Styela clava: one gene and its partners. The protein of the gene in region 4 interacts with the protein of the main gene of each other region in a biochemical or structural test. Links are inferred from orthologs where the notes say so. Each region holds a gene or a part of one and is shown on either strand. Other genes may lie near its edges.

Evidence for each region.
Region 1: the proteins of receptor tyrosine-protein kinase erbB-4-like (region 4) and ras GTPase-activating protein 1-like form a complex in vitro, tested with the Homo sapiens proteins (2 studies listed by BioGRID and IntAct, with this or other methods). The link is inferred for Styela clava from reciprocal best matches to the Homo sapiens genes ERBB4 and RASA1.
Region 2: the proteins of receptor tyrosine-protein kinase erbB-4-like (region 4) and SHC-transforming protein 1-like form a complex in vitro, tested with the Homo sapiens proteins (2 studies listed by BioGRID and IntAct, with this or other methods). The link is inferred for Styela clava from reciprocal best matches to the Homo sapiens genes ERBB4 and SHC1.
Region 3: the proteins of receptor tyrosine-protein kinase erbB-4-like (region 4) and tyrosine-protein phosphatase non-receptor type 11-like form a complex in vitro, tested with the Homo sapiens proteins (2 studies listed by BioGRID, with this or other methods). The link is inferred for Styela clava from reciprocal best matches to the Homo sapiens genes ERBB4 and PTPN11.

The regions. Positions count from the first base shown.
Region 1 is NC_135257.1:15,736,914-15,744,839, reverse strand, and holds the start of ras GTPase-activating protein 1-like, read right to left. Parts: upstream 3,341-7,926; 5' UTR 3,083-3,340; coding exon 3,056-3,082; intron 1,754-3,055; coding exon 1,590-1,753; intron 687-1,589; coding exon 537-686; intron 118-536; coding exon 18-117; intron 1-17. Other genes in the region: tyrosine-protein kinase BAZ1B-like, read left to right, coding at 6,290-6,402, 6,910-7,026, 7,463-7,607. UniProt on the Homo sapiens protein: Inhibitory regulator of the Ras-cyclic AMP pathway. Stimulates the GTPase of normal but not oncogenic Ras p21; this stimulation may be further increased in the presence of NCK1.
Region 2 is NC_135252.1:18,272,602-18,280,149, forward strand, and holds the start of SHC-transforming protein 1-like, read right to left. Parts: upstream 3,492-7,548; 5' UTR 3,362-3,491; coding exon 3,215-3,361; intron 2,377-3,214; coding exon 2,306-2,376; intron 1,459-2,305; coding exon 1,272-1,458; intron 1-1,271. UniProt on the Homo sapiens protein: Signaling adapter that couples activated growth factor receptors to signaling pathways. Participates in a signaling cascade initiated by activated KIT and KITLG/SCF.
Region 3 is NC_135256.1:10,913,119-10,920,727, reverse strand, and holds the start of tyrosine-protein phosphatase non-receptor type 11-like, read right to left. Parts: upstream 3,548-7,609; 5' UTR 3,321-3,547; intron 410-3,320; 5' UTR 321-409; coding exon 301-320; intron 1-300. Other genes in the region: plastin-2-like, read right to left, coding at 6,394-6,544, 7,470-7,591. UniProt on the Homo sapiens protein: Acts downstream of various receptor and cytoplasmic protein tyrosine kinases to participate in the signal transduction from the cell surface to the nucleus. Positively regulates MAPK signal transduction pathway. Dephosphorylates GAB1, ARHGAP35 and EGFR.
Region 4 is NC_135261.1:9,856,145-9,863,665, reverse strand, and holds the start of receptor tyrosine-protein kinase erbB-4-like, read right to left. Parts: upstream 3,403-7,521; 5' UTR 3,151-3,402; coding exon 3,075-3,150; intron 1-3,074. UniProt on the Homo sapiens protein: Tyrosine-protein kinase that plays an essential role as cell surface receptor for neuregulins and EGF family members and regulates development of the heart, the central nervous system and the mammary gland, gene transcription, cell proliferation, differentiation, migration and apoptosis.

The DNA of each region.
Region 1 (7,926 bases), on a different chromosome or scaffold from region 4:
ATTATAAATAAAATTACCTGCAACAAGCAAGACTTGAATGAATAATAGGCAATAAGCTGTGATAATGAATCAAACTGTCGCCCGCCAATGTAGAAATCACCACACACCGCAAGTATCCTACCAAGATAAAATAAAGGTTAAACTTCCAATCTAAGAATTATTATGGTATTTTTATAATATCTCTACAATGGTGTTTAACTTTAAAGATAATTTTGATCTTGGTATATTTTAAAAAGAGTAAATGTGGAGTTGTAAACATAGGCATAACTAGATGTTTTCAAAGAGTTAGATATCTCACATTGTTCAACCTAAGTCTTATATTATATTTTTCTTTTTCTTTCAGAAATTCGCTCATAAAGGATATATTAAATTTTACAGTCATTTTTTAACCAAACAAAAATTTTCTAATTTTTTATTTGATAAATTAACATATTCAAACATATTAAACAATGCTTGCAATGCAACTGTAATATATAATTAACAAACAATAATTTATGATTATCTTAATTAATAAGTAACAACAATAAACAGCATACCTAAAATGAGTGATTCCAGTAATACTGAAAAAAGATAAAACATAGGAACCAGGTCTTCTATCACTTTCTCTCACAAGATATCCACCTTGTAATCCGGCTTCCACCAGTCTTTCCTCCGCCATATTTCTATCAAGTTTACCATGATACCATCTGCAAGTTTATCAAAATAAGTATTTAAACTATAGAAAGCTTAAACACAAGGAATTGAAATAACAGAAGACACTTAATAGCCAATCTCATTTGAATAACTCAATAGCTACTTTAGGAGTTTTTTATATATAGATATCACCTAATAAATTGGAAAATTACAAATAATCACTGAATTTGCAGAGTACCGTAATTAAATAGTCCTAATTAAAAAATTGATTAGTTTACTATATTGTAGTAATATAGTAATAACAAATTATTTTTCTTCCATTCAATTCATGTTTCACAGAAATTCATTCAAAATACCATTGCCAGTAAGAAACTAATCACACTGTATAGATATCTCAAGACAAACTAAATATATGCGGAATTGTCCCTTTTTGTTAGAGCAGTGTTTCCCAACCATTTTTCAAGATTCATTTTGTAAAATCTCACGACCCAAAGATATGCTCAATTACTAAATGGCCGTATGTACTGTAATACTTTTATGGTCGCAAAATAAATGACCAATCTGAAACAAACATTTTTACATAGCGTTCATTTCAATGTGCGAAGTTTAAAAGTTTGCCATCAGCTGTGACTTTACTTGAGCAAAATAAATGCTGCCAAGTTTTAAACTGTGATACTTCCCACATAGACTATACTATACAATTATAATTACTATTGAGCAACATCCAAATATAAAATAAAATTAGTAACTTTTAGGATTTTAATGAAGAAACAAGCAATTCAAGAAACAATATCGGGTCGCCACCCAAAGGTTGGGAAACACTGGTTTAGATAATCATGCACGAACTCTATTCATGTCATGTTCTCTATTCAGAGAGTTATGTTCCTCACAAAAATAATTAGAAAACTGTTTAGAATGAACATGTTTCAAGTGTGAGTCAGAAGTGCTATCCTCACTGATTTGGTGGCGGAGTGTCAGCTTCTTCCTGTCTTGTAACATCATAACTGCCATCCATCATATCAATGAGATCATCTTCATGAATTTCTTCATTCATGTAAACCGATTCATCCATACTGGCAATTGCGGGTTGATTGAGAAAATATGAATGATGGCTACCACCCTGAAAGTAGTTTATTTATTATAAATTATTTAATTTACTCATATTGTCGGACACACAGTGTACAGAAGGATCAAACAATCCCTATAAGATTGTTTCTCTGACTATATTTGCTGTTGTAATTCAGCAACTACCTTTCCGGACTCAATGACAGGTTTTTCGTGACCTATCGACAACTGCTATATCAATCTAAATAGAGTGTGTAATATTTCTGCCATTATCGCAACTCCTAAATGTCTAAAAATAAAATACCAATTTGCCCAAGTCCATGAAAGTATGAAAAATAGGAAAATTATTTTACAATAAAATTAAAATTTATCCAAATATGAATGTAATATAAATAAAAAACCTCTAGTACAGTGGTTCTCAACCTTTTTCAGTTTGCGGACCGGTCAAATTTCAAAACAAATTTTGCGGACCGGCGGACCTTCAAAATAAACTAAAAATGTCATGAACACAAAACTTAATCAAAAGAATGCAATTGCGACAAAAGTATGGTGCAAAGGTGCAGAAGAAGACAATCCAATTCAATGAAATATTTGCTGCCTTTCTAATAGTATACATGTTAAACGCGGTTCTAATGAAGTTTCTGTAAGGCGAAGTAGAGCGTTGACTTTGCGGGTTTCATTGCGTCGTTTGAAAGAATTCTAGCGCAGACTAGGCACATGGGAAGTGGTAATTTTAGTCTGCTGGGAGCAATAGTGAAACCTAGCTCCAAATACTTCTTATTAACTTGGGTTTCTTTTGTAAAACTGGTTAATACTTTGCTGTTTGTTTGCCTCCATTTTACTATCAAACCTCGCTAAATTATAGGCCTACTGTCAAATTACGGAGCGTGCAAACTGCGAAATTTTCAATTAGGCACCGTACTATAAGCTATCAAACTCCTCCGTTATGATGTTAGCCGCCGTTATGAGATCATAGACTTAACGAACATCCAGCCGTTCAAGCCTTGAAATGGGCAGAGGACCTCTCGCCAAGTTTGTTGTTAGAATACCGGTGCTACAAATCAATAAGAGTTGAAAAAAATCACGAAATTAAGGGACATGCCGTCAATACGTTGTATTTTACAATTTGCTTATAATATGTTAATATTGGAATATATCTGGCGGACCAGCAGCAAGTTTGCCGCGGACCAGTGACCGGCGGTTGAGAACCACTGCTCTAGTATATAAATTGTCATAGAGAAAAAAAACACAAGTATGAGCTATTAATTATACATGCCAATTTTTGGCCAAATTTTTACACAGAAAATAAGTCAATATTTGTCAGTCAAAAAGCACAAAAGATTGAAAAAAATCTTACGAATTGTTGAGGCAGAACAGATGACATACTTGAACAGCAGATACTCGTGTAGTGAGATAATAAGATATACCAATGAACAATTTTTCAATTCAATGATGCAGTATCAAAAATTGTCCGCATGTAACTACAAACTTTATATATCCAGAATAATGTCACAATCTTGTAAATCCATTTTGATATCCATATAGACTATTCATCGGCAGGAAGTTTCATTTTCTCATATTTCTGTAGCAGTGTAGTTGAAATATACAGGTACAAAGATGAAAAATTGATATTCAGATTTTGTAGTCTACAAATAAAGGAATACATTTAACATATATTAATTAACCCTTCTGGCTGTCTGAGCTAAATACCATTGAATTTATTACGGTATGCCTGTAGGCTATGGTGATATCTGGATATGTCTGTATGTAAGCATCTCGTCCAAGTCAAGTTTATTTTTTCCATCCAGTGAATAAATATAAATAAGAAAAATTGAACACAGAAAAAACGAGGAAAAGAAATGAAAATTACAGTTTTACTGGGGAAGGAAAGTCGCGAGGAACCGAAGCTGGTTATCAAGCAGCGACACACAAGGTTTAAATATCTAATTTACTGTCTTACATCGCTTAATATGGATAGTTAGTTTCTTGAGATTGCATTAAGACTAAACCAACTGCTGGAAGGGGAATTTCCTATTCTGCCATTTCAGTAGAATTTATTATAGCTAGGGCTGTTCCGACATTTATAAATATATATATATATATAGTCTACACTCATTTCAGTCAGTATTAAAAAAAAAATTTCATGCAATCCTCCCCTACAGCCCCTAACCAATGTCAGTAGACTGATCCACAATTGACAATACACAGAATCAAATACTTAATCCAGTAATACCAGTACAATATATAGAACTGTTTAAACTGCAGATCTTTGTGTCAAACTAAAACTAGGCTAAGGCCAAATAAATTATTCTCATTATCCACCCACTCAGCCTATTAAATATCCCAAGCTGACCCTGCGACTATTGAGAAATACTGAAATATAAAACGACAATACTAAAAACGGACAACCTTTACAGAACAACTCTCTATGATGACACCATGCGACTACGGTGGCCACAACGAAACAGCAGACTCCAATCACAGATGTTGCTTTTTTTTTGCCAAATAAATTCCGATACCAAAACGGAATTTTTGTATCGAGAATTTAGAAGCCAAATGTTACATTTTGAATATGTATTTTTTTTCGTCAAGTGGAATATCGAGTTCGGAATACAATTGCATTATTTGAATTTCGTTTAGGTGGAGAAAAATAAGTAGACAATACCCATACACAGATTACATCATATTTCACATATTCTATATCAGCAATTCATCGTAGTTACAATGCAGATGATCGATGTCCCAAATGTCATCATGGTGAAAATAAATAGGTATATTTTATATTAGCATGGAATAACAAAATTTATAAAGATTAGACGGAAAATATGAATAACTATCATGCCAATAGGATTTTCCTATTTCCTGTCTATGTAAAACGTATTATTCATATCTAATATTCAACAGAATTTAGCAAAAACCCAACTAATAATATCCTATAAAAAACATGCAACATTAAACATTTCACATGTATTTAATTAAATTGAAAAAAAATTTCAACTCATTATGGAATTTGTTAGGATGTCATCCACTATTTCATCAATAAGAAAATTTTGTCTGTCAAAATTCGACATTAATTTTCCCATCCCATCATAGATTTTACATAACAACCCATCTAGCTACGGAGCTATCCGCGACAATACTGTTTATGTATTTGTACAGTGTACATAAGCTGCTAATACGGTTATGTACGCTATATGATATGGTAATTTATTTTGTACTATGCAATAATACAAAAAAAAAATTACAAACAAACTCACAGAACAAAAATTTAGAAAAACTGTCAAAACTTCAAATGAAGGTTAAAACGTGCGACACAAAAGTATCAAGTAAGATGCTATCCTTATGTCCCGAATGAACTACATGTATACTCCGTGGCCCTACTAAAATAAGTATAATTATATTTTTGATTTGTCCAGCAAAAAAATCATACACAAAACACATACAATGAACAACAATTCGTTGAACAATAAAAGTTATGCTAATTTTTTTTAAATACAATTTACAATGCTTGGCAACACATTTTTACAGGAACGGATTATCGTTGAAACATACGCATTTAGTCAACACCATTTACGTATTTGTTAATTTCCATTTTCATAATCACCACAAATTGTATTAAATATAATAAAAGAAAGCAACAGTTTAATTTAACTGTGATTTTACAGTCTTTCTAAAATCAGCTGTGTCAATGCTACATACGTCACAGTGAATGAAACACATGATCGGTTGTGGCGGGATGAACTCACTCAATAGTTACTTTATAGAGAATGGAGCCCGCGCCTCGACTTGATATTCTTGACATTTTCGTGGCGTTAATTTTTTGTCGTGCGCGCATTCGCGAATGACGCGTTCGATACCTTATGTAAGGGATATTACAACTATTCCAATAATAAGTCTGTTAAATTTGTGGCGCCATTGATATCACGACAACAAGGTAACCTGTTTTTGTTCGTTATAGCCTATTCGGATATTTCTGGATTGCAGTATTGTTTTTACGTCTATAGTCCCTGAATTAAAAGTGTTAAATCATGTAACATTTTAAAATTAAGGCTGCTTGGTCGTAAGCACTGGCAATATTTTATAATTATGTACAGCCTTATTATCAATCAATTCAGGCGCGGCGGTGTGGCTCAACGGGCTAAGCGTTAGGAATACGCTCGCCACCGCACCTCTAATTACTCTGCGTGGGCTCGCAGGTTCGAATCCCATGCAGGGATGGTTATGTGCGAGAGGATTGCTGGACTCCTCGCCGTCGTTGGGTGGTTCACGTAACCGCTGGTCGGTTACGGCTTCCTCCACCACCAAGTCCAGGCTTCCGAAAACAAACAATACAGTAAAATTAATCCCATACCCGACTTGGAATGGTAACCGGACGAGAGGCCGTGGTTCGCCATATGGATAAGCCGTCTTATCGGCTTTCCTCTCCCCCGGGATAAATATGTAAATCCTATCCTATCCTATCCAGTAATTATAACATCTGTTTTTGCTGCTCATACAGATATAGCATTAATATGTATGGTTGAATACCGGTAACTGAATAAGTATATAATTTAATTTTGGGATAGTATTGGTTCACAACAGCTTGCCAGTCATGCCATTGTTTGGCAGACATATTTTCAATGGTCCAGTTGAAAATGTGGAATTGGACACTGCAGCAGAAACCTATACAATTCCACATACAGGAGAATTCTTCACATCCAAAGAGTATCCTTTTCAAATTATTCCATTAGCAAAATATTATAATACTGTAATAAACTAAATATTTATGTGTGCACAGAAATGCTATTGAATTTCATAAACAATGACTAAATGAATTATGATTTTCAAGTATTCAATTCAAAAACTTCCAGTTTCGGCAAAATTTATTACAGTAATACTATTATCTGAATTTATCATATCTGAATATTCTGATATTGCTATTTCTGTATTGTAAAATCTTTTGTCAAATGTTTTTATGCAATGAGTAAAATTACTGGAAATAATATGTACATGTGAAAAAGAGGATTTCTAAAGAGCAGCAAGGAATGGGTCTACTTTGTGATCAAACACATTTTTAAGTATTCTTTATTTCACTACGATAGCCTTGCATTATATGCAAATATAGAGCTTCTCGCGTAACATCATCTCTGATAGGTTTGGAATTTCTTTGTGTTCATGAGTATTCAACTTCTTGTTTTGATTGAATTTTCCCTAATTACGTCATAAATTCAGACAATATGATGACAGAGTTCAGTTATATAACAGAAAACTATGGACTTGTCAATGCACAGGACATATCAATCTCACTCATAAAGAGGCTTTAGAATCCGAAAAAAGCACAAGAGAAATGTATTGAATTCATTTATTTTTAGATCAGATTTGGTCTAATGTTTTTGTTCCGTCACAGTTCAACTTCTTTAAGCAAAACGAGATATCGTCACATTTTAAGGTTTCGAGAAAAACGCATTTTGTAATATTCAAATTTGTACAGCTAAGGGAGTACCTGAAATTTAAACTAAAAAATGTACATCTTCGAAACACAGACCAAAAGATGGTCCCAGGTCCTTAATGACAGGAGATGAATGAATTCCATTTCTAAAAAATGTGACACAGGCTACTTTGGTTTTACTGCACCGATTATAACTGTAGAGACAAAAAAACATGTCATATAGACACTGTCCCAGTACCATTTTATAACAGTTAATAAAGTTAGAACCTATTTTTTAACAATTCGCAATACCAATTTAGGCTTATTGGTTGGTTTAATCTTCCTTTTCACTCCCAGGTTGTCAAAGTCATTTTCTGATATCTACGAAGAGGACGTCCTGCGAATAACTCATCATTCATCTGATGTTCTTGATAAAATTGTCAATAAATCTTACAAATTGCTTCGATCTCAATTGTTCGTCAATGAAACAGTTGTATTTGAAGTAAGAAATTGTATTTTCTTTATTAATAAACAAATTAAAAACTCAAAAATCAAAATCGGTCAATCACGAAGGCAACTACTACCAGAGTCGCATCAGACCGTAAGACACCTCGATTAAAAACTCTGTACCTTTTGAATTATCGATCAAAGCATCATACGAAATAACGAAAATAAGCGAATGATTTCATCCTCAATCCATATGGATTCTAATTAGAATGAAACAATGCTGTAATCCACAATTAGTTATACTTACTCTGATACCATTTCTATTTTTGATCAAAAATGCTATGGTACAATTTTTGTTGCCATTTGCCAATCAA
Region 2 (7,548 bases), on a different chromosome or scaffold from region 4:
AACAACTTAAACTATTCAGCTATATGTACCTTCAGACATAGTCTACATACAAATTTGAATTGAAAAGAAAATTATAGTTAATGAGATGGAATGTTGAGAATACCTATTTGAACTACCATAAGTAATAAAAATTTTAGTTCCACTGTAATATGTCGCAAAGTAGAATTAAACAATTTGTTATTTGATTAAATATACACAGGGGAAGGTGTTTAGTACAACTTTGTGACCAAATTATTATCATTGCATCACAAAATTTTACTGAGAAATCAATAGATTTCGACATCTCCACTGCTGTGATAATTTATTCTTTCTGACATAAAATCAATCTTATTATCCCCGTACCTCTGTGCATTAGTATAATTGGGTAAATTAGATTTTAAACTCATGATTGATTCTTTTATTGGATGCATTCTGACACATGGTCATGCATCTCAATTAAGATGCTCATTTGTTGCTACAACAAGCACGAAACTATCAGTTACACCGATGGCACAGTGGCAATTACATCAGAGCCTGCCCATTCTGATCCTAATTCTAAACAAACCATATCAATAACAACAAAGTGTAACAAAACTTGTGTTGCCAGTATTCCGAAGAACATTAGTAGCCGATAGTATGCAATATTAATAACAACTCTAAGCGTCAACTTTACTTTCGATTGTATTTGCAAAAAGAAGAAAAAACCTGTACTTATCATTTGAATCACAAGATTCAAACCTAAAAGGTGATGGATGGATTATGACAGTATAACTGTCAACTGCACTTTCCATCGTATTTGCAAAAGAATAAAAACTTGAGTTTATCATCAAATTGAATTGAAGGACTCTTATAACTCTCAGTTGGTAGAGATTTGTTCAAGTTAACATCCACCATACCTCACTCATTCTGAGAACCTAGTCAGAGCCGAGAGGCAAGTTTAAAGATGATTAATTTTTTGTCTACTTGCACCCACTAAAATCATTTTTTGCAGAAACGAAGTTAGTGAGCTAGAATGAGTTATTTTCAAATTAAGAAACTTTTGTAATGAAAGAATGCTCGTAGCAAATCTACAACAAACAATATCTTAGTTAAGCAGAAGATGATGAGAATATTTAATCTAACTGCAGGCCTTTGGTGAAATTTAGAGTTAGATAACTCACGAGAAGGTTTCAAACTCCATGTTAGCTATTGTCATTTCAGTGATCACCAGTAACTTTCCTCACACAGAGCTTTTTCATTACTGAGTATGTGTGAAGCACATTTTCTTTAAAGTGTATAAATATCATCAATACCTGTCCCGAATCAGTGACAACCAAAGTCAAACTTGCTGTTGAAATTGTTAAATTAATCAATGATAATGAAAACTGTAGATTGGGACGTTCTCCTAGAATTCGTGAAACTTCTTTCGGAGTCTTTTTCCTTCGAGAAACCAGTTGATGTGATCGTCTTGTGGCCATCAATATTCTCCATATTGCTTCCCTTTAAAGTAATATCAGAATAAATCATCAGAAAAAATTAGTAAATGGATCAAGCTATGGTATCAGCTACATTGTCTGATATAAAAAGTTTGGAACAGCCGTTTTTTCCAGAGTGAAGGTTTAAACTTGCAAGTTGCAAACTAATCCTTAAGCCTGTGACTTCCACTTATAAAAGGATTACTGACAGTATTATATCTCTTAGAAAATTACAGACTTTTTTTACAGTTTTACAGACTCTTTGCCCTAGAATAAACATGGATAAAACACCATTAATATCTAATTGTACCACAACAAATAGCATGGACCAACAACTACACGTAATCATTTTGAACCGAATCTGAAGTAATTTGATCATTGATACCTAGCAGTAGATGCTTTACAAAGCCTTGTTCACTTTTTTGATGGTAAAGGCCATAAACAACATGGTATAAAAAAAATTTAGATGCCTAAAAAAATTGAGTTTTTTCAGCAATTGGCCTATATTATTGGTCTTACATAAGAAGTAAAAAAGGCAGTATTTTACTTGCAGATCGACTCTTACAGGCTGGATACAATAATAGTCGAAGCGTTAGAAAAATTGCTTCTGAATTCATTTCAAGATTGGATCTTTCATTGGGTTCATACCCGTGAACCCTTTTGACACCAAGATTTTATATACTGTGAATGACAATTACAATGACTAATGCTTATTAATATTCATTACATCACCTCACCATAAACAGATATGAGGAAAGATAAGACCTTCCTGTATACTTATCATGGTTCTTGTACACAAATTGCATACCAAATTTAACACTAAATGGTCAGGCTCTAACAAAAAGGGATAAACATTTTGACTAGAAACTCACTTTGTTGCCTGTGTCCTCATATCGAATTGTAATGTCCGCATACTTTGCCTGACTTCTATACATCCAAGATACTATAAAAAAAATATGAAAAACAAGATAAAAAATATGAGAAAAATGCTCAAATTTATGAACATGACAGTTCAACAATTAACTGCAGTAGGTTATGTATCTTACACTCAAACGTGGCTGAGTACCTAGTTCACAAAACAAAAATGAAGGATAACCTTGACAATGGCAAAAATGAAATAAAAATAGGTTTTCCATGAATAAAAATAAAACAGTGATATTTTGGGTATAATATCGGATCTCACAGGGTTTAGGGGGAACTTGAAAAAAAAAATATTGAACCGTCAGGCTATTACTTCCCCATTTAAGTAGCGGAAATTTGAAATCGATTGGTCTATTAGTTAACAAGAGAAGCTATCTCAAGTATAAAATACGGAAAAAAATCATCATTTCTACTTTCATTGGTATGAGTCTGGCATTATTTCGTTCTAGCGAAGTGAACGCTGTAAGAGCTTAAATGATGCCAAACAAAAATGGGGTCTAGCCTAGTACTTCTAGTGAGCTTGGGTTTCATTTTACTTACTGACTTAATACGCCAAGAATTTCATTCCACGCTGACCGACTTTTTTTTAAAAAAAAACATGAAAATTTCCCATCATATTCTAGTTCTGTGTTATTTAAGCAGTTCTGGCGCTCATTTTACATCAGATATTTGGCATTTTAGGTCACAGCGTTTACAGGTTTACTTCGCTAGACCCCATTATTCTTCTATTCAGTTATTCTCATCGATAACTGGATAAGCCTGTAAGTTTCCTAGATTATTCATTGAGTCATTGCAGCATACACAGAGTTTACTAGATTATAATGAAAAACATTAAAACCATAATGTGCATCAAATATTACCCGAACTGCATAGACGACGCCAGGTCCCATCACAGAATTATCTGGATGGAGCCATCCTCTTGAAGGTTTATTCACAAAGCTCCCTGATTTCCTCCATTCATTTGCTTGATCTCCTTCGATTACCTTTTTGTTTTTCATTCGATTCATCTCTTGTATTGTTTGCTTATTAAATTCACCAAAATCTAAGTCATATATCAGAATATATATAAACGTTTACCGGCGGAAAAGATAAAAACAAGAACAGCTCGGCTACGTCCAGACGTCTGAGACTAACTGTGAAATGTCAAGTTAGATAGAGATAGAGATATTCTTAAAAATTGTTGATCTCCAGCGCCACCTCACGATGATTCAGAATAGAGCAAAAATTACGACATACCGATGTGAATTTTTAGATACCTATGTCGGAAAATATCGGCCGTCAAAACGCGACCCTGTGTTTTCAATGTGCGCTTTGCCACTGCTTTTGATAATATTAAAACATATCCAAGAAAAAATCAAGACATGTCAGTGCAATACAAAATTTCATATTGATTTATAAAAGGGTACTGAGATTTTTTAAATCAACTTAAATTCTTTTTATTAATTTGAAAATCATTGTAGCGCTGCGTGTGTGAAGTGCTAAATTTATATCAGCGATTTAAAATGATATAATGATACGTGTTTATTTAGACTAAATTAGCATCCAGTTTATTCGAATCAGTGATATATATCTCGTTATATTTGTTCGGTTGGAATTCTAAAAATTTAAAGATACATTTTGAACAACTGGTTGCCGAATACTTCAACTATTAAACAACTATTAAATGGATGTGAAAATATCAATAATATTTGCTTATTGCACAGAACCGTTAACTTGTTTTCTACCAGAAATGCATTAAATGAATTCGTTGGATGTACTGAACTAGAAATATATATAGCTCCGCGGTTGGGCCGAATGAAAAGTTTCAATTTAAAAAAAGAAAGTAAACGTTTAACAATGAAACGAATTTCACACATTTCCGGCTTGTTGCCTGCGGCTCTTTTACCATAATATACTGCACACATCTGGCAGTGTTCATTCCTTGATATTTGAATATACTATTAACAATAACCAATTTAACATTAACCAACATTGCATAACAAATTAGCGATAGCGACTATGACATTTGCCCGACTTACAGAAAATGACGTTAGGAAAAATTTTCGGCAATATGTTGTGTTGTTGAAGCCGGTTTCAAACCGCCAAAAATTGAATTACAATTTTAAAAAGTCATGTATACATGTTTGTTTTGTTTCTTGTTAGCTTTTTATAGTAGTTTTTCTTGGAAATTATACAAGTGAGTGAAAAATCAGATTATTTTGGGAATAATTGAAGCAGGAAAATCGTCAAAAATTTGCTTTTCTAAGTCACTCACAAAAATGAACGTTTCGTTAATCGCAATAAAGAATGAAGTGAAGAAGCCACAAAACACAGTTTTGTTACAAAAATTTAAAAATTGAACACCACAATGATATTTTTAAATCCGATGACGGATCGGTATAAATCAGTGGTTCCCATTTTTTGGAATTTTTCAAGCCTCGCGCCCCACCTCAAAAATAACTAGCTAACAATAAGCTACAAATAACAGATGGTAAGGCGAAAGTATGTTTCATTAAAAAAAATCACTTTGGAAATACGTGGATGGAACGTAAATAATGAAATAAATGAAAGTTTTAAAATCGTGCAAAATGTGAATATCCGAAACAGGGCGGGCGAGATCAAATCTAACAAATATAATATATTTTTATTATTAATTAGCTTCCCGTCCCCTCAAAATTTGTGTACGCGCCCCTTATGAAGCTTCCCACCGTTTAAGAACAACTAAAGGAAACTCGACTTGATTCAGTTTATTGGGATTAATTAACTCGATTCACGAGTTAACTTGGTTGTGCAACTGTCGTGAATGGTGCCGTACTTAGGTGGCTTTAGTGGAACAGCTGTCATAAATATCGCCAATATCTTCAATGGGAACTGCACATTCTTTGATATAAAGTAGTATTCTTTGAGGGGTTATTCCAGTGACCGTCACTAGCAAGTAAATCCCGAGAGTTGATGAATAACACCCACACTTGATTTCGTCCATTTGGAATGCTTCTATGTCCAGAACACATTTGACTATTTTAATCTAGAATTGGATTAAAGCCATGATAAAATGGCAAACAGTGTCAGAACACAATGGCGTTGCATTTCACTCTGAAGATAAATATCTAAAATTGAACGTTTAACAGTATATTCGAATTATTGAGACATAATTACTTTTTACTGTGGCAAATACGAGGTGCTCAAGCGCAGCAATTGCTGTACCATCAATCAGAAAACTTGTCACTTGTCGCAAAAATTTCATTTTTTTTCATTTTTTATTATATACAAATTACGCCTCTGGAGCAAGATTTTCAAGATATCAAAAATTATAAAGTAAATTTTTATTTGTGCTTAATGATTATAAATATAATACTTACCAATTCATTGAAATTCCTGAGATTTAAAGTGTAAAAACACCCTTATAACTATTCGCGGTAACACTTCTTCTCGACACTTCAGACTCCTATAAATCAGGCAAGTCTAATTTTATCAAGGCCATGACCTTGGAAACATGTTTACCGCATGATGTTGGCCAATGTTCTTATAAAAAGTTCGTCATCAAAAATCGACGAACACGGTTCCGTGAAAACATAGGCTTCTATTATATTATTAATGCGCGTTTGTGGTGTGTTTTATTACGATGAGCAGGCTTTTTAATTGCTTTTGAGATAAACATGCCTTCTATGTTTGACACCTCATATCGTCATTGTTAAAGTTCGCAGGTTAAATACAATAACAGAGAAGATTTCTTTCATTTCGAAGTTTTGTTCTGCGTCAAACTGATATATATCATAAGCAAGAGAAGTTGACTATTACTATTGTTAGGAAAAGATGCGCAGGAGGGTGAGTAAATTCAATTTTTAATTAGTACGATAACTATAGATATTTCCGAATTTATAAGACTCAAAATACAATGTCTTGTTGTCGAAAGATCAAGGTAACTAGAACGTCTGCAGTTGAATAATATTTTATCATTACAGTAAAGAGTAAACACTCTTTAATGTTCTGTTAAATACTACAAGTGTTCATAGCAACAATATGTTTTACAAAACATTATTTCTTAAGCACCGCAAAATAAAATAGTGTTGAAATTAGGAGAAAGTTATCTATTTCTTCATTTACTTTTTTGAACTATATTTTGTCAAGTAAACAGCAATCGGAACAAACAACCAACATTCAAATATCTAATCTTGTATACGAGTATTATTTTATGCGTATACAATTCTTTTTGAAAATTATCTATTCAACTTTTCTGTAAAGCTTGACTGTAGGTGAATTATTTCACATTGTAGTCGTTGTTAAATTTATTTTACAGCTTATAATTATGACGTTATCGTAATCCAATATACATGTGATGACATAACACTTCAACTGACAGATAAATGCGCACATAACACAACGTGTTGGTCGAAAATACCCAAACGCAATTGCATTTCATATATTTTGGAAACCCGTACGTAATATACACATTGTATAGAGAGGCAATAGAAATGGCCTCGAGCCGTTTGGTCATATTCAAGGAGAGAATGAGCTAACGAAATAGAAAATTAGTAAATATTGATAACTTGAGTGTACGTACTGCTCACGGTTGCTAATTTGTCAGCTATCGCGCGTAATTGCAATATGGATACGGTATATTACTCTAAAATTATTGTAATATTTGCATTATTTTTCGATATTCTTTTTATCTATGCTTTCGAAATATAAATTGTTTATTGCTTTTATAAACAAGGTGATGATAGATGTGCAGATATATACAGGAAGTGCTGTACGTGTAAAACTCCCGTTAATTCTCTGATGTGAAAGCATTTGCCTCCGCGTTGGCTGCAGAAGGATTAATTAATATGACCAAATTTGGGCGATAGTTAGATCATGTGATTATCGAGAATATTTAAAATAACTTCGAAAAAAATTCGTTGAGATTTATGTTGTCTATATATGAGATGTGCCCAGCTGAAATGACAATGTCTTCATTATCAGCCGATAAGTAGAAGGATCATGCGTGCAATCTTGAGGATTGATATTTTGTAATATGGCGTCTGCTTGAAACAGCTCGCTCAGCTGGCTGTCTTATCCTTTGAAACATTAGCAGCCATCTGAGAGGTTGGAACACGCGGATGAGTTTTTCACCGTTTAAAATACTAACTTAGGTATTTCTACCTAAATACACTTTCAAGGAATGTGACTGGGAATTCGAATATTTATTAAGATTGAACCCTGACATCATGCAAAG
Region 3 (7,609 bases), on a different chromosome or scaffold from region 4:
CCCGATGACAATTCCCAAATTCTTGTTCCCAAGTACGTAACACCCAGTCTGCCAGTGGTGGTATTCAGCCGGTTCTATAGAACAGTCTCACAGGAATTTTATGAGATCAGCGAACCGGCCAACATTACTGGTTTATTCGCTAAAAAAATATGACGTTTTGTAACAGAACTGGGTGAAAAATATGACTTTTGTGATGGAACCTGATGACAAAAAATTTGAATCCCACCACTGTGTACACCTACTAATTTTATGACACATCATATTTTTACCAGTCTCTAAGATACCAAATATTGCACTCACCTTCGGGATATCGATGTCATTTTACACGAACGACCGTTAATTCTGAATTAGTTCCCACAAAAGTGAATACATTAGCCTCTGACTACAAACAACTAGGTTTAGTACTGTAGTACGCCACCGCAATGCCAGCAAAATTCCAGCCAAATCTTGAAAAAGTTGTACCGAATGTCATATCGAAGTGTGGCCGTGATTTTATACGAAATATTTGACTATTTCGAATATTTTCGGTCACAGGGGAAAGATTCGAAAACACCACTGGATAAAAGACTACTAATAGAACTTATTCCAACGAAAAAATTGAAGTGACATCCCACGAGTTTTCGAACTTTTTGAGGTTCGAAAATATTCAAATACACAAAAATTGAACTTTTTCAGGAAAAATCGAATTATTTCGAATCTTTCCGGTCTTGGGGGCAAAGATTTGAATATACCATTGGATAGAGGACTAACATAAAAATATATTTCAACAAAAAAATTGTAGTGTCATCCGAAGAGTTTTCGAACTTTTTGAGGTTCGAAAATGTTCAAATACACAAAAATTGAACTTTTTCATGAAAAATCGAATTATTCCAAAATTTTCCGGTCCTGGGGGCAAAGATTTGAATATACCATTGGGTAGATGACTAATATAGGAACACATTCCAACAAAAAAAATGTGGTGACATCCGACGAGTTTCCGAACTTTCTGAGGTTCGAAAATGTTCAAGTATGCGAAAATTGAACTTTTCCACAAAAAATCAAATCATTTCGAATCTTTCCGGTCTTGGGGGCAAAGATTTGAATATACCATTGGATAGAAGACTAATATAGGAACATATTCCAACAAAAAAATTGTGGTGACATCTGACGAGTTTTCGAACTTTTTGAGGTTCGAAAATGTTCAATTACACAAAAATTGAACTTTTTAATAAAATATCGAATTATTTCGAATCTTTCCGGTCTTGGGGGCAAAGATTTGAATATACCATTGAAAAGAAGACTAATATAGAAACATATTCCAACAAAAAAATTGTAGTGACATCCAAAGAGTTTTCGAACTTTTTGAGGTTCGAAACTGTTCAAATACACAAAAATTGAACTTTTTCATAAAAAAATCGAATTATTTCGAATCTTTCCGGTCTCGGGGGCAAAGATTTGAATATACCATTGGATAGAAGACTAACATAGGAACATATTGCAACAAAAAAATTGTGGTGACATCCGACGAGTTTTCGAACTTTTTGAGGTTCGAAAATGTACAAGTATGAAAAAATTGAACTTTTTCACAAAATATCGAAATATTTCGAATCTTTCCGGTTTCGGGGGCAAAGATTTGAATATACCATTGGATAGAGGACTAACATAGGAACATATTCCAACAAATAAAAAGGGTGACATCCTACGAGTTTTCGAACTTTTTGAGGTTCGAAAATATTCAAATACACAAAAATTGAACTTTTTCAGGAAAAATCGAATTATTTCAAATCTTTCCGGTCTTGGGGGCAAAGATTTGAATATACCATTGGATAGGGGACTAACATAAAAATATATTTCAACAAAAAAATTGTAGTGTCATCCGAAGAGTTTTCGAACTTTTTGAGGTTCGAAAATGTTCAAATACACAAAAATTGAACTTTTTCATGAAAAATCGAATTATTCCAAATTTTTCCGGTCCTGGGGGCAAAGATTTGAATATACCATTGGGTAGATGACTAACATAGGAACACATTCCAACAAAAAAAATGTGGTGACATCCGACGAGTTTCCGAACTTTTTGAGGTTCGAAAATGTTCAAGTATGCGAAAATTGAACTTTTCCACAAAAAATCAAATTATTTCGAATCTTTCCGGTCTTGGGGGCAAAGATTTGAATATACCATTGGATAGAAGACTAATATAGGAACATATTCCAACAAAAAAATTGTGGTGACATCTGACGAGTTTTCGAACTTTTTGAGGTTCGAAAATGTTCAATTACACAAAAATTGAACTTTTTCATGAAATATCGAATTATTCCGAATCTTTCCGGTCTTGGGGGCAAAGATTTGAATATACCATTGAATAGAAGACTAATATAGGAACATATTCCAACAAAAAAATATCAAAAAGTTCGAAAACTCGTCGGATGTCACCACAATTTTTTTGTTGGAATATGTTTCTATATTAGTCTTCTATCCAATGGTATATTCAAATCTTTGCCCCCGAGACCGGAAAGATTCGAAATAAATCGATTTTTTATGAAAAAGTTCAATTTTTGTGTATTTGAACAGTTTCGAACCTCAAAAAGTTCGAAAACTCGTCGGGTGTCACCACAATTTTTTTGTTGGAATATGTTCCTATGATAGTCTTCTATCTAATGGTATATTCAAATCTTTGCCCCCGAGACCGGAAAGATTCGAAATAATTCGATTTTTTATGAAAAAGTTCAATTTTTGTGTATTTGAACAGTTTCGAACCTCAAAAAGTTCGAAAACTCGTCGGGTGTGACCACAATTTTTTTGTTGGAATATGTTCCTATGTTAGTCTTCTATCTAATGGTATATTCAAATCTTTGCCCCCGAGACCGGAAAGATTCGAAATAATTCGATATTTTGTGAAAAAGTAAAATTTTTTCATACTTGAACATTTTCGAACCTCAAAAAGTTCGAAAACTCGTCGGGTGTCACCACAATTTTTTTGTTGGAATATGTTCTTATGTTAGTCCCCTATCCAATGGTATATTCAAATCTTTGCCCTCGAGACCGGAAAGATTTGAAATAATTCTATTTTTAATGAAAAAATTCAATTTTCACATAATTGAACTTTTTTTTCAAATATTCAATATTTCCATATCATATCATTATAATAAGAGACAGTAATATTCCCAAATCATCATCTGAATATAAATCCTCCGATAGCGTGATGTCCCAAAGTATTAGTTTTCGTAGAAAGTCAGAAAGTACATTTTGTTAGACCAGGAAACACTTTAATATGAAATTCGGGAATATGAGTTTGATATTTGGCTGGTATTTGGCTAGCATGACAGTGGTGTTTAGTACTGTAAACAGCCAATCTTACGTGAGTGAGGGACTCCGGATTCAAGTCGGGGACTCCGGAGCATTTATTTTAAATTATGTTGTCAGCAGTCGGCCTTGAAATCGAAGTTTCAGACATTCAGAAGTAAATTTCAACCATAAAAAAGTTTATTAAACGTTCCAAACAGTCTCCTGAAAAAGTTTTCATCAAAATTTAATTTACTCGGGAGTCGAAACCTCCGTCAACCGGGAGTCGGAGTCGAACATGGCGCGGCGGCGGTGTGGCTCAACGGGCTAAGCGTTAGGAATACGCTCGCCACCGCACCTCTAATTACTCTGCGTGGGTTCGCAGGTTCGAATCCCATGCAGGGATGGTTATGTGCGAGAGGATTGCTGGACTCCTCGCCGTCGTTGGGTGGTTCACGTAACCGCTGGTCGGTTACGGCTTCCTCCACCACCAAGTTCATGCTTCCGAAAATATACAATACAGTAAAAAACTAATCCCATACCCGACTAGGAATGGTAACCGGACGAGAGGCCGTGGTTCGCCATATGGATAAGCCGTCTTATCGGCTTTCCTCTCCCCCGGGATAAATATGTAAATCCTATCCTATCCTAACATTATTTAACTCTTACTTTCAAATATATTTGCTCTTTTTCAATGGTAGAGTTTTATCTAATGTGCGCGTGTAGCTATATCGTTGTTAGGACGTCGGGTCAATATATTTATGTGGTAGACAAGGGTGAGTTAATGAACACCCGCCACTCCTGTTGGTAACACCGGTTTCCTTAAAATTCGCTCTCAGCAATGCTGATTTTGAAGTCAGTTTCCATCGGATGATCGTTGATATTGTGTTGCTAAACCTTGCTGTTGGGAAAAATCGCATTCCTCCACAACTAATGGACCAACCAACCGATTTCAGGTATTCAGTACTAAAGATGGAATGGCTCTCATGGTTATTTCATAATTAATTCGTTCGAAAATACTACGTATTCGTATAGCAGAGAAATATAATTGCTACTCCCTTTTCAGTGTACACAGGAACAACTGATCATTCTAGTTACATTGTTTCGTTTCCTGCTCTTGATCATTCATTAACAGATTATGAGAAAAGAGCTTGACTTGATTTTTATTGTAACCTAGGTCCTAGTGTATATAAATTGGCTGTGTACAAGTCCATAAATCCAGAGTCGACTCACGGGCAATCAGAGTCTAGTAGTTGGTAGATGACGAATCTGAATTTTCCCATTTAGATGACGAGTCTTTGACAAATGACGATTCTGGTCCAATCAAGGACTTTAGCCTCCCTAACATTGGTTGTGCCTAGCTAAATTTTCACATTTATCTTGACTGGTAACATGGGTTTACCATTCGACAGATCACAGTTTTTGTTCGTTCTCCATTCTAAATAAGGTATGGCAATATTTTATCAGATATTAGTTCTAAATGGCCTGGAAAGGTGCAAATACCCCCTTTTTAATCATTGGCAAATTTTTAAACCATAAAAGAAAATCCAATTTGCAACGGTTATGAACCAGAACATCTTTACATAAACAAAATTTACTCGATCAGCGCTTCATCAACCCACCAGAGAATTTAATATCCTCAACCATACCCAGTAATCCTATAAATTCATAAAGAATCATGACACACATTTATAACTGGATGATTAGTGTTATAGTATATAATAGCTGATATCAATATCACACACACTCCTTGTATTAAAATTTGAAAATGTGGTTTAACGAGCATTAGATTTGGTGAAAAACTAAATAGCGAGCTTTACTGCATAGGAAATGCACTTTAACAAAACTTTTTGCCGATTTAAACAAGAAACTCATTTGAAAGTGACAAAATTAGACTTCGTGAATCAAAACATTCAACGAAAATTATTTACCAAAAATAATTGAACTCAACCGAAATTGCATTTTTAGTGAAAACAAACTTACAAGCGACTTGGAATGATGCAACAGAATAATATGAAAAATGCATTATTGTTATTGCTAATATTGTGGATTGTGAATCGGTAATAAAGGCATAATTCGGTGTAGTAGCATAATTGTCTAATACTGAATCCCACAAACCATTATTCATAAATTCACAAAATAAGTTTTAATTGCTATTTGGACAGATAGTTACAGCATAGTACGCTACATAGAAATAAGAGTGGCCAAAATAATTTCAATGCGTGCTTTTAATTTCAAATTTACCATTGCTCTAAAAGAATCCAGTGGCCAAAAAAAGTTTAATATGTGATTTTAATTTCAAATTTCACCATTGCACTAAAAAAATCCTGATAAAAAATTTGAATAAAATATTTGAAAAAAGTAACGGTATGATATTGTATTTTTTGGTCACACAAAACATATAATATTAGCAGTAACAAAAGCCTATCCTACCGTGCTGAGATTGGAATGTAGTGAGTGAATGCGACAAACAGAAAATGATGTGTAATACTCGGGACTTGGATTAGTCATGGATACAACATAAACCTGGTGGCCAGAAACGATTTTTACAAAAAAAAAAAGATAATGCTTCATTAAGATACATGTTATAACAGGGTTAAATCCTCATCTTTGAAAAATTTTCTGAGTACATTATATACGGTATAACATTATGTTTAATATTAAAATATATCCAAGGTATAATGATACTACTTTATGTACAGTTTGAATAAGTGCCAAGTTTTACCAACAGATTTTAATGCCAAAAAATGCCAGATAATTACTGTTATAGGACTAAATTCTGGTGTAATTTTAATATGATAGTATAGTGTGTGTGTGAAAGCAAGAGCCAGATTAACTAAAATACCAAGTGCATGAAATGAAAGTGAAAGATATAAACCAAATGAATGTGCAATGACGTATTTAATAAAATTGTCATAATATGTGAAAATGTTACTGTTAATCATTATTGAAAAAAAAATGCGAGCAAACATACTGAAAATAATTTGAATTCTGGACCTGCTGCTCTACATTAAAGTAATGTTTGATGACTTGATGTTACATTCTTGAAATTTGCATAAGGACAGAATTATTGACACAATTGTTGGAATGCACATCTTCAAAACTTCAATAAGAAAGTCTTAAATTTCGAGTCCTCAATTTTCCCCCTCCTCACTTTTCAGCTGCAAAGCTCGGACCATAAGGCAAGCAAATATTGTCATTACCATCTTCTGGTTTACTTCCCACAAATCATCAGGCAAAGCATAAATTTTAGCTCCAATTTTACGGCCCATGGAAATAGCGTATCTAAAAACAAAATGGAAAATGCAATTAAGGTTGTTTGTAAGTACAAAACATCAGAGATTAGATTTTCAACTAGGATCAGTGGCTTTCATAGTTTAATGCAATTTTTACAGCCCAAAAAAATATGAAAAAACCTTAAGTGACTCTATCTGTAAGGTACGAAGGCCAAAACGAAGAAGCATAAAATATTTTACAGCACAGACAGTTTGACCACGAGATGCTAAAATGCGATCATGGAACCTTGACATGGTGCGTTTTGTTTCAATTTTAATGACGTCTCCGCACAAACACAAATCCATAGAGCCCACAGTAATTTGGGAAATAAATAAAAGTAATATTCTAGCGACAACATTATCCTTAATCTTAACCACTGGAAATTTCAAAGCAATTGGTCCATCAGTTATTGAGAAAAGTGATTTTTCCACAACAACAACAAGAAAAATACAATATGACAAAACGGTCCATTGGTCCACTTCATGTCCGACAATCCAATTAGCAATCTTGTTTATAACCAACTAAAACTAGGAGTTGAAAGGGGAAATTACCATATTCAAACTAAAACTTTAGTACCCAATTACAGTTAAAATGTGTTTCAAAACTGGTGATCTAAAACTTGTAACATCATTACACACAATTAATCAACAACAAATCTATTTCAAATCTTACTGATAGGGTCAAGGCCATTATAAGAAGTAAAAATGCCGGAAAAAAAGTATATAGTACAGTACAGTATATGGCTATATGCTATATTAAATTTTTTCCTTGAAAATTCCTGCTACGAAACTAAAAGCACCTTGGAGGTTCGAGTTTAATTTAGTAGAGTGGAATGAAATTTCAAATGGCGGAATTTTCTAGATGAAATTTCCCTAGCATAATTTTGTGAGTGTGCTTTGAATAACTTTCCAAAAAGCATAACGCAGTAAAGTACCTCGCATTGCTCTGCTGCTCTTCCTCATTATCACCAGGTGAAACATTGCTGTAATCAATAGATCCTTCTGCAATAGCATCGATGAGATCGAGAACAACAATCGATGTTCTTATAGATGAATCCTGCAGGGTAAAAAATGG
Region 4 (7,521 bases):
CCATCATGTAACACGATGACACTCGAGAAGTTGGGGAATTCAATGAATGTTCCATATTATGCTTTGTACTAATTATGACATAAAAGGGTAAACAATTCTAATCTGTAAGAGAAGTGAAATCCCAAAATACATTCTATATTTAAACCCAGCGAATGGTGCTTCCTCGTGTGGCGCGGTTACGGGAATCCCTTTGGGATAGAATCATCGCTTAAATTTTCTAAATTCATTTTAGTTTTTACGTCAAATTAAAATTAGTACGCTTCTGTGGGTTTGGTGATAAATACGTTGAGAATCACCTAAACTTCTTACGTCACAAAACCTGGAAGCTTTGGGATTGGCACTATCTAAAATGCCATACCACATGGGAGTTGCGCTATATGCGTTGGTCAGTATTCGGAACAAAAATAAAAAAAATAGTTTGGGGTTTTTCGACTATCATTACGTCCAAATAATTAAAAATTCTGTCACAGCTTGACATTCCAATAAAAGTCTTTTACGAGGTTTCTCAAAATTGAAACAATCAACCACGGTACCAAAAAAAGAGCATTTAGGAACAAGTATAGAAAACAAAAATGATCTATATATAAAATTTAATGCCATACAAAGGTGAAAATGCATCTGGTATGAGATACGAATTCATTAAATCTAACTTTATCTGAACGAGGCCAAATGTTTGCAGCAATACACTGGCATTGCGTGAGACGGAATCCGCTATATACACAAATCATATATTGTCTATACATTGTACTAAGCGAGACCTAGTCGCGGTCATTGTCCTCGTAGGACACCCATAGAGCGAAATTCACAATAGAAATACATCCTACAATAATTTCAAAGCAAACATAAAGAATAACGCGTTGGTCAGCTGTCGGTTCCAAGTTTAGGTGATGGCCTAAATCGAGAGAAATCATTTCGTATGACAATATTCAGACCTACAGCTTATGAAATCTCTATGTTTGCCAAGCATTTCCTAACTTTACTTCTGGGTTGCCAGTTTTCTGATGTCATTTGATGGTTGTTTGTTTTTGAACATGGCACAATAATGATTCTAACGATAAAAAAATGATAGATAATATGATTTGAAACACAAAAAGCAAAAATGTGTCAAGTATGACTAGAGGATGCGTGTGGTGAATCGAATTATCACAGTATTCCCACAACAGATCCTTAGGGGCTCATAAATGTACATGCGTGAAGAATTGCCTGCTTTACGGCAATGCCCAACAATTTTACATATGGGTTGCCAGTTTCATCGATTTGCAAGGACACGCGTTCAAGCCACTACAATGTCTGTCCCAAAGGATTTATCCAAATGCTGTGAACTTTCAAAAAGGAAATAGGGCGAAAATAAACAACTTTATACACGACGTATTCGTATTGAAGCGCTAAGTTAGTAGCGTACGTTCATGCTATCATTAATCGTTTGGACGATTAATGATAAAATGGATGTCGGTACGAGGACATTATTGGACATTTTTAGGTTCTTTTACTTTCGCAATCTCAACAGTAAACATTTTGGAAAACGAGTTCGCAATAGTCCATTCAGATATTTTTTCGTTTATTCACAAAACAATATTTTTGTATGAGCGTCGAGATTGTCTTAATCTGATGATACATGCTTGAAACAAAATTATATTATTGATTTATGCAACAATAATTTTCATACGTAAAAACTTCACAGAAGTTTGGAATTTAATATTCAATACAATGAATTTTTCAACAATATTTGTGCTGTGTATATCCTTCATTTCAAAATTATTCAAATTACTCAATTCCGTGGGTTTCATCGTTAGAATCAAAAAACAAGTTAGGATAATCCGTTCACGGAAAAAACGATTTTTCGGCAAAAGTTCACGCCCGTGTTGATGGTACAATTTTCAACAATATTCCTGTTGTATGGTTCCAAATCAGCTTAACGGGACGGGACGTATTCGCCGTACCAGCAAGCAACAAAAAAGCCACGTTAATGTTTTTTTCGTAATTTTCTTAGCACAATTTTTTGGTGTTTATAGTTTTAGTAAGGCATTGCTTGATGGGGCGGACAAAAATAATATTCATTTATAGGTCTTCGTTGATCTAAAGATGTTTATTTGTCAATTAAAACGAAATGAAATACAAACAAACTTTAGAGATTTCCTGAGAATGATTGAACTGTTTTACAGCGTATTAAACACAGGTTGAATATTTATGATCAAAACACTGAGTTCTATGGCCGGAGGGAAGATTTAGCTTCAAATTCTCGAAGGTTGGTTTACATTACTTTCCAAAAACAAATTCCTTTGGACCGAATCAGGTCTTAAGGATTACTCCGTGACAAGTCTTATCAAAAATCAAATTCGCATGTCGCCAATCATAAAATTTGCGTTTAGATTGATCAATGAAAAGACTGCCAATCGTTGATCGATTTATCATTAGTTCAAAATACGAGAACGTATATTTTTCAAGTATAAAAATGGACCGAAAACCAAATTCAAATACAATTTCATCAACCACAAAGAATTTTATCTGTTATTTCTTGGAGTCAGCGCATTTAGTTGAAAATTTAATCTCATTCATCAACCAGAGAACACGTTAGTTGTCCATAGAGAATGTTTGGCTCAAGCATAACTATTTGCATTTAAATTGCCATTGCTTCACTTCGATTATTCTCGTAAAACGATATTTGCAAAACTTCATTATCATATGTAATTTGATATATCTATATCATTATCAGCATCACATGTTATATGTGGCAGAACGTATTGTACAGAGAACCACAAACTTATATATACTCCCACGGCCTTCGCGTTTCCATTGCATACTCTTACTTGTATTTCCACCACTGTTATTACTTTTTTTTAGGTTGATATTTTGAATTTAATACTAACAATATAAACTGATGATTGAATAAAGACGTAGCGTAGATTCGTAACTTGCGCTGGTTATTGGTGAACCCAATAAAAATGATAGATACGATTTTGTGTCCATATATGCTCGCATATAAATACTGTAGTAGCAATTACCATTACTTACATTACTCTAATCAGCTAAACAATAAAACAAGATTTGAACTAAATTTGTGAAAACAATCATACCTTTTCCTTGTACGCCTGAATTTCTTGACACAAACAGAAGTAAAATCAGAACCAATATATTGATCTTTAAGTTCATATTGTCTTTGGTTGTAAAGACGTTTGTTCTTGATCTTCAAGTCTTCATGCGTCCATATCAGAAGACAAGATTCGAATATATTCCGGTAATGGATTATTCATATATATATAGGGTCCGTGTGGTTTTCTCTTTTCAAGTTTAAATCCGATCAAAGATGTGAACAACCTTACTTCAGAAAACGAATAATAAAATATTCTTAAATTAAAACACCGGATCGATTATATTCAACTTATCAAAAATCCGGAAGAATTGAGAACTGCATGAAACAATTTGATGAAATAAATGAAATATTTTTTAATAAAAACCTAAAAATCACTTTCTCCACTAAAAGGCGGATGTGTTAAAATGTTGATGTATAACTTAAAATAAATCTCTCTAGCATTGGTAACAATTTATGTTCTTTTTTTAGTTATAACCTTGGTTATAAGCCACTGTTAACAATATCGAAATGTCAAAGGTGTATTCTTTAATTCAATCTTTGATCTGATAACACAAAGCTCTAACAAAGTAAAAACTGATTTTGTTTTTGAAAAAAGTAGATCAGTTTACTGGTTGATACACCTAAGCCTTTCGAATCAGTGGTATCAGAGGAGCAAGAATCTAGGTAGAGAAACTCACTGTTGGTTTGAACCCACAACTGAACTGGTGTAACACTGAAGAAAACTAGCATAACACCGCATGTTAACAATAAAATTGACGCCGTGAAATTGGGATTATATGATTGTATAATATATAAAGTTCATAAAAAGTTTATGAGAAGTGCGCTTCTAATATAATAATCCTATTATTCTTCTTCCAAAAAATCTCATCGTGATTTTCTTAATTTAAATATGAGAAAGTTTTTTTCTGCCGAATTCGCAATTGAGTCAATGCGTTTAATTTATAGAATATTGTTGAAGTTTATAAAATATGCTTCTACACAATTCAATTCTGTACAGCATTTGCGTTACATTTAATCCGTATTGAAGCGAGTGAACGACCGTTTCGAACACTTAATCGGAGAGCCTCTACAGCAAGTAAGGTTTTACACATTCAGATAGAACATATAACTTATATGCACAGAGGAAGTCTAGAATATCAAGAAGACAGGGAGATGACAGCTTAATTGAGTATGTATACGGCTTGAGTAAAGCGGTAGGAAGTTTGAATAATTCACATTTCAGATACACTATTATGCGCCAGGTATGGACGCATTTGAAACCTTGATTAAGATGTGAGAAATCATAGCCAATTTTAAACGCTAGCGACAGTTATAGATGTAAATCTGACAAAGTGCATTGCTTTACGAACACTTATAAAGCATTGCAGAAGTTGGAACAATCTTGAATGCAATGCTTTAGAGACACCGGACCATATATCGTTTATTAGATTTACTGCCGGAAAGAGGGGCAGGAAACAATCCCTGACAAAACCTTGAGGATAATAAAAGCAAAGGACCAATAAAGTCTGCAAACAATGAACGTTTTGCAGGGAAACAATAAAAGTCAACAAATCGTGGAACATCTTATGAATCATTAACGACTGAAGTTGTTTGTTTTATCACGGGAGCGAGGCAGGAGGTTCCGATATCGAAAGACAAATATATTTGAATGATATCGAACTAAACCAGCTAATCGCAGTGAAAAAATCTGTTAGGTTACTGATATACAGTAGTGATTAGACCACTGATTATCATGTTGGTACCCATTAAAAAGTTGCAAGGAGTATCTCATATTTTCTATCATGAATACTGTACACGGTTGTATTGCTTCAATATAATATCATTTATTTTTGAATTTATCGCGCGGGGAGTGATAGAAGGCGTATAAAGGAGCAAACAATACGGATTCGAAGATTCTTTTGCCCAATCCTATAAAATTATTGTATATAGCTACTTGAAAAAGTTCTGCAAAACGAACTACTTGCTACTATGAAGTGAGCGTTGCATCTATATAAGTTCAACCTGGTTCTCAACCTTCACAAAATCGATGTAAAGATTCGGTAGACTTTAAAAGGTCCATTAATGGTTACCATATACTTTATGTCATGCATATTTCATCGCTTCACTTCATCAATGCAATTGAAAGCGTTTGAAATTATTGCACCTATTTTTTTTTTATCACAAAGATCATTATACATACACAAGTGGGGATAAAAACAAGGACTGACAACCTTCCAATTCAATTCTGGTTAACACGAAACGAATTCGTCATGGTAATTAGGTGTGAGTATTTGGCGCTTCAATAGTTTATATCCTCAGCTCTGGAATTATATTGGACTTATAGTTATCTTAAAACTTTGTCAACATAAATTCCGTTTTTTGGGGTAGAAGTGATTAAATTTTGTACAAAATGCATTAAATCTGGAGCGTTATATAACGAGCCAAACTTTCTATAGTCTTTATAACCTACACGTTATTTACGCAAGCACCGGACCATGTCAAACACAAAGAACGTCATTGAGGGCTTTTGAAGTGGGTTGTCCCATTGTAATGTTCCGCGAATCGTTTGCTGCTAAAGCGACCAGGCACAGTCGTGTTTAGATAATAACTCGAACAGGAACTGACTAGACCCTTTCTACTTAGCGTTCTACAAGTTAACACCTTCGGAACTTCCATTATCAAATTTAATGCCCCAGTATTATAATCCTGACCCTAAAATATCTGAGATATGCTACGTCAATCACTTCGCCTCAGTAACGAAATATTCTATAAATAATTTGATATTTTATATATACCTAAAAATATGAAGATAGGTTTGTTTCTACATTATTGCTCAAACATTATTCAAAATATTGGTTTTTATACAAGTTAGAAATTATAGAATACCAATAATATTATTGAATCAGAAATAACATGTAAACAGAATGAAGCAACACCGTGAAGCTAAATCCGAACGTCGGGGTCCGGTCTGGCAAAGCCATTTTATCGCGAAGAATTGGAAGTTTCTCAAGAAAGTCTCTAGTCTCAAGACAGCGAAAAAAGCAACAAAACTTTCGGACAAATATAAGATATTTATAAAATACACAATTTTGCAGCCAAATTTATTTACAAATAAACAACGCCATACCTAAATTTCTAATGACTGTACATATATATATATATTCTTATGCCTCACAAATTTCCTTGAACTCTTTACCTGTCGTAAGTTTGAAAAACTTTCTTATCGCTACCTCTTTGCAAATACTGTCCAAATCGTATTGTTACGTTATTCTGACTGACAGTGGAAGTACTGAATTCACAGCTTGCTTCAACCTAAGATATAAATAATTCAAGATTACCACCTAAATCCAGCTTTAACAGAAGCGGCGATCGGTTGCGAACGACACGGTATAAACCACGATTTTTTGCGACTTTACGTCATAAATCTACCTTGACGTCATACGTGAAATACAGAATAATAACACAAACCCTAGTCCTGCCACAGCAAAAGCCTAAACGTCCGTACACGTTTCGCCTCGCGGTGAATAAGGCGACGTTCCACTGAGCGTAAATAGACACCTGTGGCCGTACAGGCCGATAAAAACAACCCTGGCAGGTAGGAGAGAAAATAAAGAATAAATTTGCGAGAGCGAAGAAAAATGGCAGTCTATGTCTTTCGGTGAGATGGTTCATGATCATATAAGAGACATATTCACACGACACGCGCTTGCGAAAAATAATATATCATATAAAATGGCATAGGCATAAAGATATTATGATGTAAGAATGATATAACTCACTGTAACAGTGTAACTCGAGCTACTCAATTGAACAATTCAAAACCAAATGAGCAAACACAATAAAAATTTACTAGTGGAAATTTACGTCACCTGATCAAATCTTGCAACTGTTGCTTTATGCCCAAACGGGATCATGTAAACTGTATAAAGGAATGATCTTCTATTACGCATGGGATAAAATGATTAATTAATGACTCCGGTAGCCTATATTTAAGTGTTGTAAATCGATGTACTGTACATATTCTTGAATATAATTACCACGGAGCAATAATTATGAGGTTTTAAATTAGTTAGAAAACCCTTACCGAAGAGTTCAATATAGAATAGAATATGATTGCTCGAAATTCGATTGATTTGACCAGTTATGGAGGAAAATGGATTTTAGCTACTTAATAGTCAAAACTGATAGAAACAAAAGGATAATATTAAATTTTTATGGTAGATTTTATTTATAGAAAATATACAGCCTTTGACGGGTTATTTTTTGACAATATTACCTAGGTAGGTTCGAGTCCGGAGCAATCAGTAAATTGTCCTACCCAATCCTACTCTTGTACACGATATGTAGAAATTCGAATACCGGTATGCTGCGGAAAAGAGTAAAAAGATTTTAATCTTATTGCCCGGTAATCACAAACTTCCAAGTGTTAGCCTGTACAGAGTATTTCTCTA